Linked DNA regions of Xenopus tropicalis. The protein of the gene in region 2 interacts with the protein of the main gene of each other region in a biochemical or structural test. Links are inferred from orthologs where the notes say so. Each region holds a gene or a part of one and is shown on either strand. Other genes may lie near its edges.

Region 1 (4,062 bases), on a different chromosome or scaffold from region 2:
CACTACTCTCATGATACCAAATACTCTCACGGTACCAAATACTCTTATGGTATATTCTTGTGGTACCAAATACTCTCATGGTATCAAATACTCTTGTGGTACCAAATACTCTCATGGTACCAAATACTCTCACGGTACCAAATACTCATGGTATCAAATACTCTTACAATACCAAATACACTTATAATATCAAATACTCTAATGGCACCAAATACTCTCACTACTCTCATGGTACCAAATACTCTTACGGTACCAAATAATCTTATGGTACCAAATACTCTTGTGGTACCAAATACTCTCACTACTCTCATGGTACCAAATACTCTTGTGGTACCAAATACTCTCATGGTACCAAATACTCTTATCATACCAAATACTCTCATGATACCACATACTCTCACGGTACCAAATACTCTTGTGGTACCAAATACTGTCACTACTCTCATGGTACCAAATACTCTCACTACTCTTGTGGTACCAAACACTCTCATGGTACCAAATACTCTCACTACTCTCATTGTACCAAATACTCTCATGGTATCAAACACTCTTAAGGTATCAAATATTCTCATGGTATCAAATACTCTTTAGGTACCAAATACATTCACTACTCTCATGGTATCAAATACTCTCATGGTATCAAATATTCTTGTGGTACCAAATACTCTCATGGTACCAAATACTCTTGTGGTACTTGCACACTGCCCAACGCTCTCATACTAGTACTCTCCTAGCCATACTGTTACCCTCACAGCCATACTAGTACTCTCCTGGACATACTGTTACTCTTACAGCCATACTAGTACTTTCCTGGCCATACTGTTACCCTCATGGCCATACTAGTACTCTCCTGGCCATACTGCTACCCTCACAACCATACCAGTACTCTCCTGGCCATACTGTAAAAAGTGAGAGTAGGGTTCACCTGGTGATAGTAATAAGTGCGAGTGAGGCTCACCTGGTGATAGTATTAAGTGAGAGTGGGGCTCACCTGGTGATAGTAATAAGTGAGAGTGCGGCTCACCTGGTGATAGTAATAAGTGAGAGCGAGACTCACCTAGTGATGTTAATAAGTGAGAGCGCGGCTCACCTGGTGATGTTAATAAGTGAGAGCGCGGCTCACCTGGTGATGTTAATAAGTGAGAGCGCGGCTCACCTGGTGATGTTAATAAGTGAGAGCGCAGCTCACCTGGTGATGTTAATAAGTGAGAGCGCAGCTCACCTGGTGATGTTAATAAGTGAGAGCGCAGCTCACCTGGTGATGTTAATAAGTGAGAGTGGGGCTCACCTGGTGATGTTAATAAGTGAGAGCGCAGCTCACCTGGTGATGTTAATAAGTGAGAGCGCGGCTGACCTGGTGATGTTAATAAGTGAGAGCGCGGCTGACCTGGTGATAGTAATAAGTGAGAGCGCGGCTGACCTGGTGATGTTAATAAGTGAGAGCGCGGCTCACCTGGTGATAGTAATAAGTGAGAGCGCGGCTGACCTGGTGATGTTAATAAGTGAGAGCGCGGCTCACCTGGTGATGTTAATAAGTGAGAGTGGGGCTCACCTGGTGATAGTAATAAGTGAGAGCGCAGCTGACCTGGTGATGTTAATAAGTGAGAGCGCGGCTCACCTGGTGATGTTAATAAGTGAGAGCGCAGCTCACCTTGTCATAGTAATACCGGAGAGCGCGGCTGAGTTTATCGTAGTTCATGTTGGTCTTGTTCTTTCGCAGCCCCCACAGTCGCGCCACCTCCTCCGCATCCAGGAGCTTGAATTCCCCGTCGTTGGAGGTCCAGGAGATGAGGTGCCGGTGGCTCTGCTCTTCCAGCAACTGCAGGAGGAACTGCCAGAGGGTCCCAGAGGGGTCCATGACTGCGGGAGCAAAGAGACAGTCAGGCACTTGGGCAGAGAGAGGCGTGGGGCAATGGGAGACGGGGGCGACACACAGGGGGAGATGAGGGGGCAATAGCAGCAGCGGGGGGGACAGACAGTGGCCCTAGGGTAGTTATTGGTGCTCACCTGACTCTCTCATTGTGTTCCATGCCCGGCCTCTCTCTCACTGCTCAGCACTCTCCCCCACCGCTCCTCGCTCTCCCCCGCACTCACGCTGTTTACAAGATGATGTTGTGGAGAAGCGGACACGGCCATGGCAGAGAGGAGCGACAGAGTGGGAGGGACAGGGGGACAAGAGACAGCAGCGAATGAATTCACAGCACAACAACCCCCCCCAGATGCCCCCCCTCCCCACATTGTCCCCCCCCTCTCACCTGGAGACCTGAGCGACGAGAGCGCCCTCCCCTCCTGGTTACCTGACTGTCTCTCAGGGGACGCTCTCCCAGCCGCAGGCAGCTCTGGCCCCCCTGAGGGCACCCAAGGACACTGTGCCAGCCCTGGGCATGGCAGGGAGGGTGGGCAGGGCACTAGGAGACAAGAGAGGGCCGGGCCCCCATGTGTTGCCCCCCTGTGTCTGTGCAGCCCTCCTGCTCCTCTCCCTCCTGCTCCACTGCTGCCTCCGCTGCTCCACTGGCAGGGAGAGAATCCTGGCTGCACGTCAGGAGAAGGGGAGGAGCCTGGGGAAGGGGGAGGCGCCACCCATACGGGGAGAGTGGGTGGCACAGCGCCACCGAGGGGCACACACAGGAGCCTCCTACCCCCCAGCACTGGGTGCAGCAATTCAGCCCCATGGGGGGGGGGGGGGCACATAGGGCTAATGGGTCCCACACAGACTAGGGAGTAACTACAGCCATTCCCCCGGCACGTTGTGCAACTACAACTCCCAGCAGCCCTCACAGAGGTTTTGTGGGGAGATTATCAGTATTTACCCCGAGTCACAGCCATGGGGCAGAGAGTCTGGGGGGGGGGGGGGGCAAATAATCAGAGGGGAGGAGGGGCATCCACATTTAGAACAAGGATTGGTTCAGATGGGGGAATGTTTAGCCTGTACCTCGTTACTTGCCATCTCAAGGCTCTGTTGCCATGGCAACTAACAGACTGGAGCAGCAACCTGTACAGCACAGCTCCCCTTAACCCTTTGTCTGCCAGAGCCGCACAGCAATTAACTCCTCCCATGCCTGAGCCCCCCTGTGCTGCAAACTGATAGCTCCCGGGGTCAGTGTGGGCTCATAAATAGAACTATATGCCTGCCCCCAGGCATTCAGCCCCTTCCTATGCTGATGGTGAGATCCCCTTTCCTCCCCACCCCCAATGTATCACTCATTCCCCCTCTCTGGGTAGGGAACCCCATAACCTGACTGCCCTTACAGTAAGGAACCCCTTCCTATGCTGATGGTGAGATCCCCTTTCCTCCCCACCCCCAATGTATCACTCATTCCCCCTCTCTGGGTAGGGAACCCCATAACCTGACTGCCCTTACAGTAAGGAACCCCTTCCTATGCTGATGGTGAGATCCCCTTTCCTCCCCACCCCAATGTATCACTCATTCCCCCTCTCTGGGTAGGGAACCCCATAACCTGACTGCCCTTACAGTAAGGAACCCCTTCCTATGCTGATGGTGAGATCTCCTTTCCTCCCCACCCCCAATGTATCACTCATTCCCCCTCTCTGGGTAGGGAACCCCATAACCTGACTGCCCTTACAGTAAGGAACCCCTTCCTATGCTGATGGTGAGATCCCCTTTCCTCCCCACCCCAATGTATCACTCATTCCCCCTCTCTGGGTAGGGAACCCCATAACCTGACTGCCCTTACAGTAAGGAACCCCTTCCTATGCTGATGGTGAGATCTCCTTTCCTCCCCACCCCCAATGTATCACTCATTCCCCCTCTCTGGGTAGGGAATCCCATAACCTGACTGTCCTTACAGTAAGGAACCCCTTCCTATGCTGATGGTGAGATCCCCTTTCCTCCCCACCCCCAATGTATCACTCATTCCCCCTCTCTTGGTAGGGAATCCCATAACCTGACTGCCCTTACAGTAAGGAACCCCTTCCTATGCTGATGGTGAGATCCCCTTTCCTCCCCACCCCAATGTATCACTCATTCCCCCTCTCTGGGTAGGGAACCCCATAACCTGACTGCCCTTACAGTAAGGAACCCCTTCCTATGCTGATGGTGAG
Region 2 (4,179 bases):
CTTACAATCTAAGGCCCCTATCCCATTCCCATCAGCCCCTGCCCCAGTGAGCTTACAATCTAAGGTCCCTATCACATTCCCATCAGTCCCTGCCCCAGTGAGCATACAATCTAAGGTCCCTATCCCATTCCCATCAGTCCCTGCCCCAGTGAGCTTACAATCTAAGGTCCCTATCCCATTCCCATCAGTCCCCTGCCCCAGTGAGCTTACAATCTAAGGTCCCTATCCCATTCCCATCAGTCCCTGCCCCAGTGAGCATACAATCTAAGGTCCCTATCCCATTCCCATCAGTCCCTGCCCCAGTGAGCTTACAATCTAAGGTCCCTATCCCATTCCCATCAGTCCCTGCCCCAGTGAGCTTACAATCTAAGGTCCCTATCACATTCCCATCAGTCCCTGCCCCAGTGAGCTTACAATCTAAGGTCCCTATCCCATTCCCATCAGTCCCTGCCCCAGTGAGCTTACAATCTAAGGTCCCTATCCCATTCCCCTCAGTCCCTGCCCCAGTGAGCTTACAATCTAAGGCCCCTATCCCATTTCCCTCAGTCCCTGCCCCAGTGAGCTTACAATCTAAGGCCCCTATCCCATTCCCATCAGTCCCTGCCCCAGTGAGCTTACAATCTAAGGCCCCTATCCCATTCCCATCAGCCCCTGCCCCAGTGAGCTTACAATCTAAGGTCCCTATCACATTCCCATCAGTCCCTGCCCCAGTGAGCATACAATCTAAGGTCCCTATCCCATTCCCATCAGTCCCTGCCCCAGTGAGCTTACAATCTAAGGTCCCTATCCCATTCCCATCAGTCCCTGCCCCAGTGAGCTTACAATCTAAGGTCCCTATCACATTCCCATCAGTCCCTGCCCCAGTGAGCTTACAATCTAAGGTCCCTATCCCATTCCCATCAGTCCCTGCCCCAGTGAGCTTACAATCTAAGGTCCCTATCCCATTCCCATCAGTCCCTGCCCCAGTGAGCTAACAATCTAAGGTCCCTATCCCATTCCCATCAGCCCCTGCCCCAGTGAGCTAACAATCTAAGTTCCCTATGCCCGATATACCCTAGCTGTTTGTACTTTTGCCCCAGATGCCCCGGGGTACTTACCTTCTTCATGATGCCAGTTTTGCGCTTGCTGAAGGTCGTGTAGCGCCGCAGTTTGTTATCGATGAATTCCATCTTAATCTTCACTCGGCCGCGGGTTTTCTTGCCAGGTTTTGCCCCTGACACCGTGCCACTGGCCCCCGGGTACCCCACACCGCCGGCTGCACCCCCTTGTTCCGGCAGCTCAAGCTCGTTGAGCCCCCGCTTTAACCCCCGCCCAGGAGGATCCTCCTCTTCCCCCGAGTCTGAGCTCCCAGAGCTGCCGCTGTATTGGACCCCGGGGCCCCTAACCCCTGGGCAACCAGCCCCATTGCCTGCCCTGCGGGCCAACCCCAGCCCCCGGCCTGACCCCACCACCCCGGCCTGGCTACTGGGCAACATCCCTAGGGGGCATGGGGGGGTGCCCCACTCTTATACCACTTCCTGGGATAAAACCTACTAATCTGCCCTTCCTTGGGGCAAAACCCGCCTATAATAGGTATAACTAACCTACCCTCCTGGGGTAATGCCTACTAGCAATCTGCCCGGGGTACAAACTTAAATGCCCCACCTGAGCTCCTCAGTGCCCCTTGCCTGGGCAAAGCAAACACTGCTCCCTGGGGCTAATACGGATACCTGCCCCCCCGGACTCTCTCCCTGGGGCTAATACGGATACCTGCCCCCCCGGACTCTCTCCCTGGGGCTAATACGGATACCTGCCCCCCCCGGACTCTCTCCCTGGGGCTAATACGGATACCTGCCCCCCCGGACTCTCTCCCTGGGGCTAATACGGATACCTGCCCCCCCGGACTCTCTCCCTGGGGCTAATACGGATACCTGCCCCCCCCGGACTCTCTCCCTGGGGCTAATACGGATACCTGCCCCCCCCGGACTCTCTCCCTGGGGCTAATACGGATACCTGCCCCCCCGGACTCTCTCCCTGGGGCAAATACGGATACCTGCCCTCCCCGGACTCTCTCCCTGGGGCTAATACGGATACCTGCCCCCCCGGACTCTCTCCCTGGGGCAAATACGGATACCTGCCCCCCCGGACTCTCTCCCTGGGGCTAATACGGATACCTGCCCCCCCGGACTCTCTCCCTGGGGCTAATACGGATACCTGCCCCCCCGGACTCTCTCCCTGGGGCAAATACGGATACCTGCCCCCCCGGACTCTGTCCCTGGGGCTAATACGGATACCTGCCCCCCCGGACTCTCTCCCTGGGGCTAATACGGATACCTGCCCCCCCGGACTCTCTCCCTGGGGCTAATACGGATACCTGCCCCCCCGGACTCTCTCCCTGGGGCTAATACGGATACCTGCCCCCCCGTCTCTCTCCCTGGGGCTAATACGGATACCTGCCCCCCCGGACTCTCTCCCTGGGGCTAATACGGATACCTGCCCCCCCGGACTCTCTCCCTGGGGCTAATACGGATACCTGCCCCCCCGGACTCTCTCCCTGGGGCTAATACGGATACCTGCCCCCCCGGACTCTCTCGCTGTCGGACTGTTGGTTCCGGCCCGGGCCGCACTCCCTCTCCCTGACCGGCCTGTCTGGCTGTGGCTTCCCCGCTCTCCCTGCTCCAACCAATCACATCCCGAGCCGCATCACACTCACACACTCGGTTCCCACCGCCAGAGCGTGTAAATGAGATCCTTGCGCGCCCCTTGCCGGAACTAATTCCCATTAAATATGGTTTGGGCGGAAGGGTACATGAGCCGGAGTGGCGCTGAGGGACTATTTTCTCCCTTATAAAGCGTTACAATGTTTCCTTTTATGGAAAAGCCTCTCCTTATATGGTGAGTCACCGCGCTTCGCTCCCATTGGCCCGGGGCCCGGACACAGCGCTTCCCTGATTGGGTGGAAGGGGGAAAGCGAGGCGGGGCCTGTTACGTCCATTTAGAGCGAACCCGAGTCACGTGGGAGGTTAGAGATCAGCTGTTCCCTCAGTAGGTACCGCCCCCTGATGTGTCCGAACAGCTGAGCGCAGGGGCTTGTGGGAAAGTGTCCGGGCCCTGGGGTCTCCTCCCCTTTACTATCTGGCGCATAGAGCATTATGGGTAATGTAGTAGCATTATGGGTAATGTAGTAGCATTATGGGTAATGTAGTAGCATTATGGGTAATGTAGTAGCATTATGGGTAATGTAGTGCGTCTGAACTTCCCTTTCCCCAGTGAGTCCGCTGTAACCCCTTATAGATACTGGGGCCCCTCTCTCCCCTTATAGATACTGGGGCCCCTCTCTCCCCTTATAGATACTGGGGCCCCTCTCTCCCCTTATAGATACTGGGGCCCCTCTCTCCCCTTATAGATACTGGGGCCCCTCTCTCCCCTTATAGATACTGGGGCCCCTCTCTCCCCTTATAGATACTGGGGCCCCTCTCTCCCCTTATAGATACTGGGGCCCCTCTCTCCCCTTATAGATACTGGGGCCCCTCTCCCCTTATAGATACTGGGGCCCCTCTCCCCCCTTATAGATACTGGGGCCCCTCTCTCCCCTTATAGATACTGGGGCCCCTCTCTCCCCTTATAGATACTGGGGCCCCTCTCCCCTTATAGATACTGGGGCCCCTCTCCCCCCTTATAGATACTGGGGCCCCTCTCTCCCCTTATAGATACTGGGGCCCCTCTCCCCCCTTATAGATACTGGGGCCCCTCTCCCCCCTTATAGATACTGGCGCTCCTCTCCCCCCTTATAGATACTGGGGCCCCTCTCCCCCCTTATAGATACTGGGGCCCCTCTCTCCCCTTATAGATACTGGGGCCCCTCTCTCCCCTTATAGATACTGGGGCCCCTCTCCCCTTATAGATACTGGGGCCCCTCTCCCCCCTTATAGATACTGGGGCCCCTCTCTCCCCTTATAGATACTGGGGCCCCTCTCTCCCCTTATAGATACTGGGCCCCTCACGCGCAGCCCTTAGTTACTGGGCCCCTCACGCGCAGCCCTTAGTTACTGGGCCCCTCACGCGCAGCCCTTAGTTGCTGGGCCCCTCACGCGCAGCCCTTAGTTGCTGGGCCCCTCACGCGCAGCCCTTAGTTACTGGGCCCCTCACGCGCAGCCCTTAGTTACTGGGCCCCTCACGCGCAGCCCTTAGTTACTGGGC
Region 3 (4,255 bases), on a different chromosome or scaffold from region 2:
TTACAGTGCTCTGGCAACGTAGCTAATGGGAGCCACAGCTCAGTGTGGTGAAAGTATAAATTGTATAAATGTACTCTCAAGTCAATATTAGCAGTATTGTGAATTTTCCAGGCTTACAATCTTACATCTATATCTAGCAAAGTGGGAGAAAGTTAGCTTCTTCAGCCACTGACAGTAATTATATCTGGATCAATATGATTCTAATGCTTTAGGATCATGCAGTCAGCTGAGCCCTTTATTACTCTCAGATAAAGTTCAGATTTCCCAATATATGGCTTTAGGGCTTGAAAGGAGTTAGCGACCAATACAGACTGTATAGGAGAGATCCATATTCTACTGTTTATTTACAGTGCATTTTATTCACTTTCCGGTCGTTAGTTGCAAGTGCAAGATAGCAATTATACAGGCTGCCTCCTCTACAGCAATGATTTCTAGACTTTAAACTGTGGCCATAATTTTTGCCTCACAGAGACAGCTAAGCTGGCCAGACATAGGCCAATTTTGTGTGCACTAATTGGTCAGCCATTGGCTGAGGTATGAGATAGTAGGAAATTTGCACATGCACATGAATTGCCAAATTGCACAGTTTTGATTAGTTGAAATATGTTGCCTAATATGTACCATTGCACCAACAAATCAATATATCATAGATTTTAAAAACAATACGTGTGTATGTATTTTTAAAGAATAAAAAAAATCATGTTTGCCTAGATGAAAACATTTTGCCAATAATTGAAAGTTCTAAAGACACTGGAATTTATTTAATGCAATCCTGCCAATTATCCATGAAACAAAGTAATTCTACTTATATTTCTATACTTTGTCGAATATATCAATATATCCTTACACTATCTCATGGTGGTATATATATATACACACAGTGGAACTAAGCACATGCATTTGCTTTACTCTAGTCTTACTGAAGACAAAAACCCTATTGAAATTCAGTGATCAAGGTCACAGAAAAGGAATATACAGATTTAGACAGCTGTCCCTGAATTTAAAGACCTTACAACTGGTTTAGACAAGGAATCATAACAAGTATACTAGAAACTGACATACATTAAAGAAACATACTAAAAACATGCATTCTACTATATTATTTCTCTTTATTCTCTGCTCCTTCTCTTAATCCCTACTAAAAAAATCACTATATATGTCTGCTGCAATAACAGTGTGTATTAATTTAACCCCTTTAATATCGTACTTGCTGTATTGTCTAGATAATATTTAAAACAATCATTTTGCCTCTGTAGCTTTGCAAAATTAACACAATGGAGAAATGACTTTTCACATTATGGCTCTGCAACAGCTACAGCGGTAAGTTTATAATACCTTCTATATGGTCAGAAGATATGTCGGTACATTGCAGTTTGTCTGGATTAGTGTAGCTTGATTGTATATGCTTATACTATAGGTTTTGTATCCTCAAACTTGTCAAAGAAGTTGATGATGAAAGATCTGAGCTTTGTCTCTCAATGATATTAAACTTAAATATATTCATTATTATTGTTAATGCTCCATATATTTATCCTCTATATATTATTCTTTGAATGTTTTTTATTTAATTTAATGATTTTTCATTTAATTTAATTATTTTTTATACTGGAGAGTTCTATAAAACTGAGTCAAATGACACAAATGCAGAGGATAAGGTAAGATATATATTTCTTAGCACAACAATGACCTCAATGCCCTTAAATGTCACAATTTTTGTGACTTTGATCTTTTCCTGGTTAAACCTACCTTCTTTTCCACTTTACAAACGTTTTGCTTCTAGCAGGGTTATGTACAGCTCTTTGCCCAACAGGTATTGTATATCATAACTGGACATACCTGCTGTTTCACACAATGTAGGCCCTCTTATCATTTCCATCAACAGCATTATTTCTGCTTATATAATATAAGCCATGTATATTGTCATACAATTATACATGGTGAAATTCTAAACACAGGAAAATTCTTATAATAATAAGTAAAACATTTAAATAGATCTAAAAACTGACCTAATTTCACTTAGCAATAGCTAAGTACCCCCCCCCCTTCATCTTAAAAACCCCTTCCCTAGTGGCTTTATGACACATTGGCTTATTGTAGATCCTGGTTATTACTAGCACATAAATCAGAGAAAATAATGACACTAAAACAGATAGTGTGCTGATTTATGTTCAGTGTAGTGTGGCTCAGAGAAGGTTGTTAGGTGTATATGTGTAGGCATGCCTGTGTAAAACAATTAAGATTCCAGGATGAAGCACATTGATAAACTCTATACAAGATTTTACCTACCACCCGTTGGGATCCATTACTGATGAATAATAAATCTCTCTGGTCCCTCTCCTGCTGGTTAAGGGAAGCCAATAGTGTCTGCAAGCGTTCTATATACTGGATGGCGCTCCTTAAGATTTCAACCTTTGGAAGCCTTTGGTTAGGGTTCAACAGAGTGCTTCTTTTCAGGGCTTCAAATGCCTCGTTAACTTTTTTTAACCTGCGCTTTTCCCGTAAGGTAGCAGCCCTCCTTCTGTCCATGGAAACCGTCTTCCTCTTGCATACCTTGCAGGCCCATGGCAAGCATTGGCCAGGGCAATGTTCTTGTTGGGTTACAGTGGGATGGGGAGAAACCTTGTCTTCAATTCCTGAGCCCTGCAATAAAACCCCATCCGCACATATCCCCACAGTGCCACGATCTTGAAACCCAGTTTGCTCATATGTAGGGAGCCTCGCAGAGAAATAGTTATCATTGTCATAAAACCTTTGGTCTGGAAAGAAATAAGGGCTGGTTTCAAAAAGCTCCATCATACAGGGCTGCCTAGAAGTGTTTCCTTTCGACAACTACACAGCAACTGCTCTTCTACTCTTCACACCAACTGTTTGATGCCATTTAAACCCTCTGCCCAGCATTAAATCACGCAGATAAATATAGAAAACATTCACGAAATCTGATCCACTTTTTAGCTGTTGCCTGACATCAAAACTTTTTTTTACATCTGAAAAAGAAGGGATTCTCCCTGGAGGATTCAGCTAGGGGAAAAAAAAGGACAAAAGAAAAATTCCCCTTTAAAAACCTTTTTAGTATTCAAGTTCATGTAACAGTTATATTATTTATTTATATAGAACACATTCATTTAGACAGAACAATAGGAGTACATATACATGTGTGTATATATATATATATATATATATATATAATGTATATATGCTTATTAATCTGTGTGTATGCTTTTAATTGGATTGTGTGTTTCTGTATATCTCATTACATTAAAAATAATGCTCTAAAATAATGCCCTAAAAATAATGATACCAATACAGGAAAAATAAAACAAAAATAGTATTTTATATTCCCGATGTACTGCCCATTTGAATTTATGCTATAGTGTCATTTTTCCCTTCTGTTTATTGCTGCCTTGCATTCAAGAGTGCCATATACATTCATATGTAATGTCTGGGTTGATAAAGGAGCACTGAGAATATCATATTTATATTTGATTTAGAATGCAGTGGTTAGGTACATCTGATACAGAGAATACAATAGACAAAAGGCTGATTCTTGCGCACAATACAGAATAAAGGCAATAACTGATACAACAATATGGTGATGTATAAAAACCAGTATATGTCAGAGGCGGGTGAATATTTTACCTTTTAAATTTTGTTAATCTCTCTTTCCTTGTGCAATAATTTCCCATGCAGGTGCAAGTTTATTTTGTCATAGTTTACGTGTCCTTTAATTCGCTCTGTTTACTTTATGAGCAATGTCTTGTGCATGTGTTCTACAAGAATGAAAGCTGGCCATACATGGGCCATTTAAAGCTGTCAACTGAGTCAGCAGCTTATTAGCCTGTGCATGGGGCCTGGTTGACCGATATTTGGCTGAAAATCATCCAGATATCAATCAGGCAGGTTTGAAAATTCCATCAACTGTGGACTGCATCAGCATTTTGGTGTGGTCATCATTTGACAGGCTTTCATAGGTCCCAATGCCCCCAGGGCTAATGATCAGCCCAAAATGACCCAGGGGCAAATCAGGCCCAGATCTGCTCATTCTGCAATACTACAGTTATGACAGTGAGGGAAGGAAGAAGTCTATAAGGTACCCATAATAGTTTATTCTGTTATTTCAACATGGGCTGTCCAACTAGAGGCCAGTGGGCTGGATGTTGCACTGTAACTGGCAACTTAGTGTCTTTTAATACATAACCAATATGTGCGTTTTATGCCTTCCAGCGACTCCATGAAATCTAGGAATTCAATGGAGTTT

The links. The genes of interacting proteins can lie anywhere in the genome.
Region 1: the proteins of srf (region 2) and elk1 form a complex in vitro, tested with the Homo sapiens proteins (2 studies listed by BioGRID). The link is inferred for Xenopus tropicalis from reciprocal best matches to the Homo sapiens genes SRF and ELK1.
Region 3: the proteins of srf (region 2) and myog form a complex in vitro, tested with the Homo sapiens proteins (2 studies listed by BioGRID and IntAct). The link is inferred for Xenopus tropicalis from reciprocal best matches to the Homo sapiens genes SRF and MYOG.

Annotation. Positions count from the first base shown.
Region 1 is NC_030684.2:1,344,553-1,348,614, reverse strand, and holds the start of elk1 (ETS domain-containing protein Elk-1), read right to left. Parts: upstream 2,830-4,062; 5' UTR 2,692-2,829; coding exon 2,256-2,691; intron 2,242-2,255; exon of another isoform or gene 2,021-2,241; coding exon of another isoform or gene 2,008-2,020; intron 1,861-2,007; coding exon 1,652-1,860; intron 1-1,651. UniProt on the Homo sapiens protein: Transcription factor that binds to purine-rich DNA sequences. Forms a ternary complex with SRF and the ETS and SRF motifs of the serum response element (SRE) on the promoter region of immediate early genes such as FOS and IER2.
Region 2 is NC_030681.2:1,168,610-1,172,788, forward strand, and holds the start of srf (serum response factor), read right to left. Parts: upstream 2,823-4,179; 5' UTR 1,790-2,822; exon of another isoform or gene 1,710-1,789; 5' UTR 1,476-1,709; coding exon 1,098-1,475; intron 1-1,097. UniProt on the Homo sapiens protein: SRF is a transcription factor that binds to the serum response element (SRE), a short sequence of dyad symmetry located 300 bp to the 5' of the site of transcription initiation of some genes (such as FOS).
Region 3 is NC_030678.2:54,934,984-54,939,238, reverse strand, and holds the start of myog (myogenin), read right to left. Parts: upstream 2,830-4,255; 5' UTR 2,794-2,829; coding exon 2,287-2,793; intron 1-2,286. UniProt on the Homo sapiens protein: Acts as a transcriptional activator that promotes transcription of muscle-specific target genes and plays a role in muscle differentiation, cell cycle exit and muscle atrophy.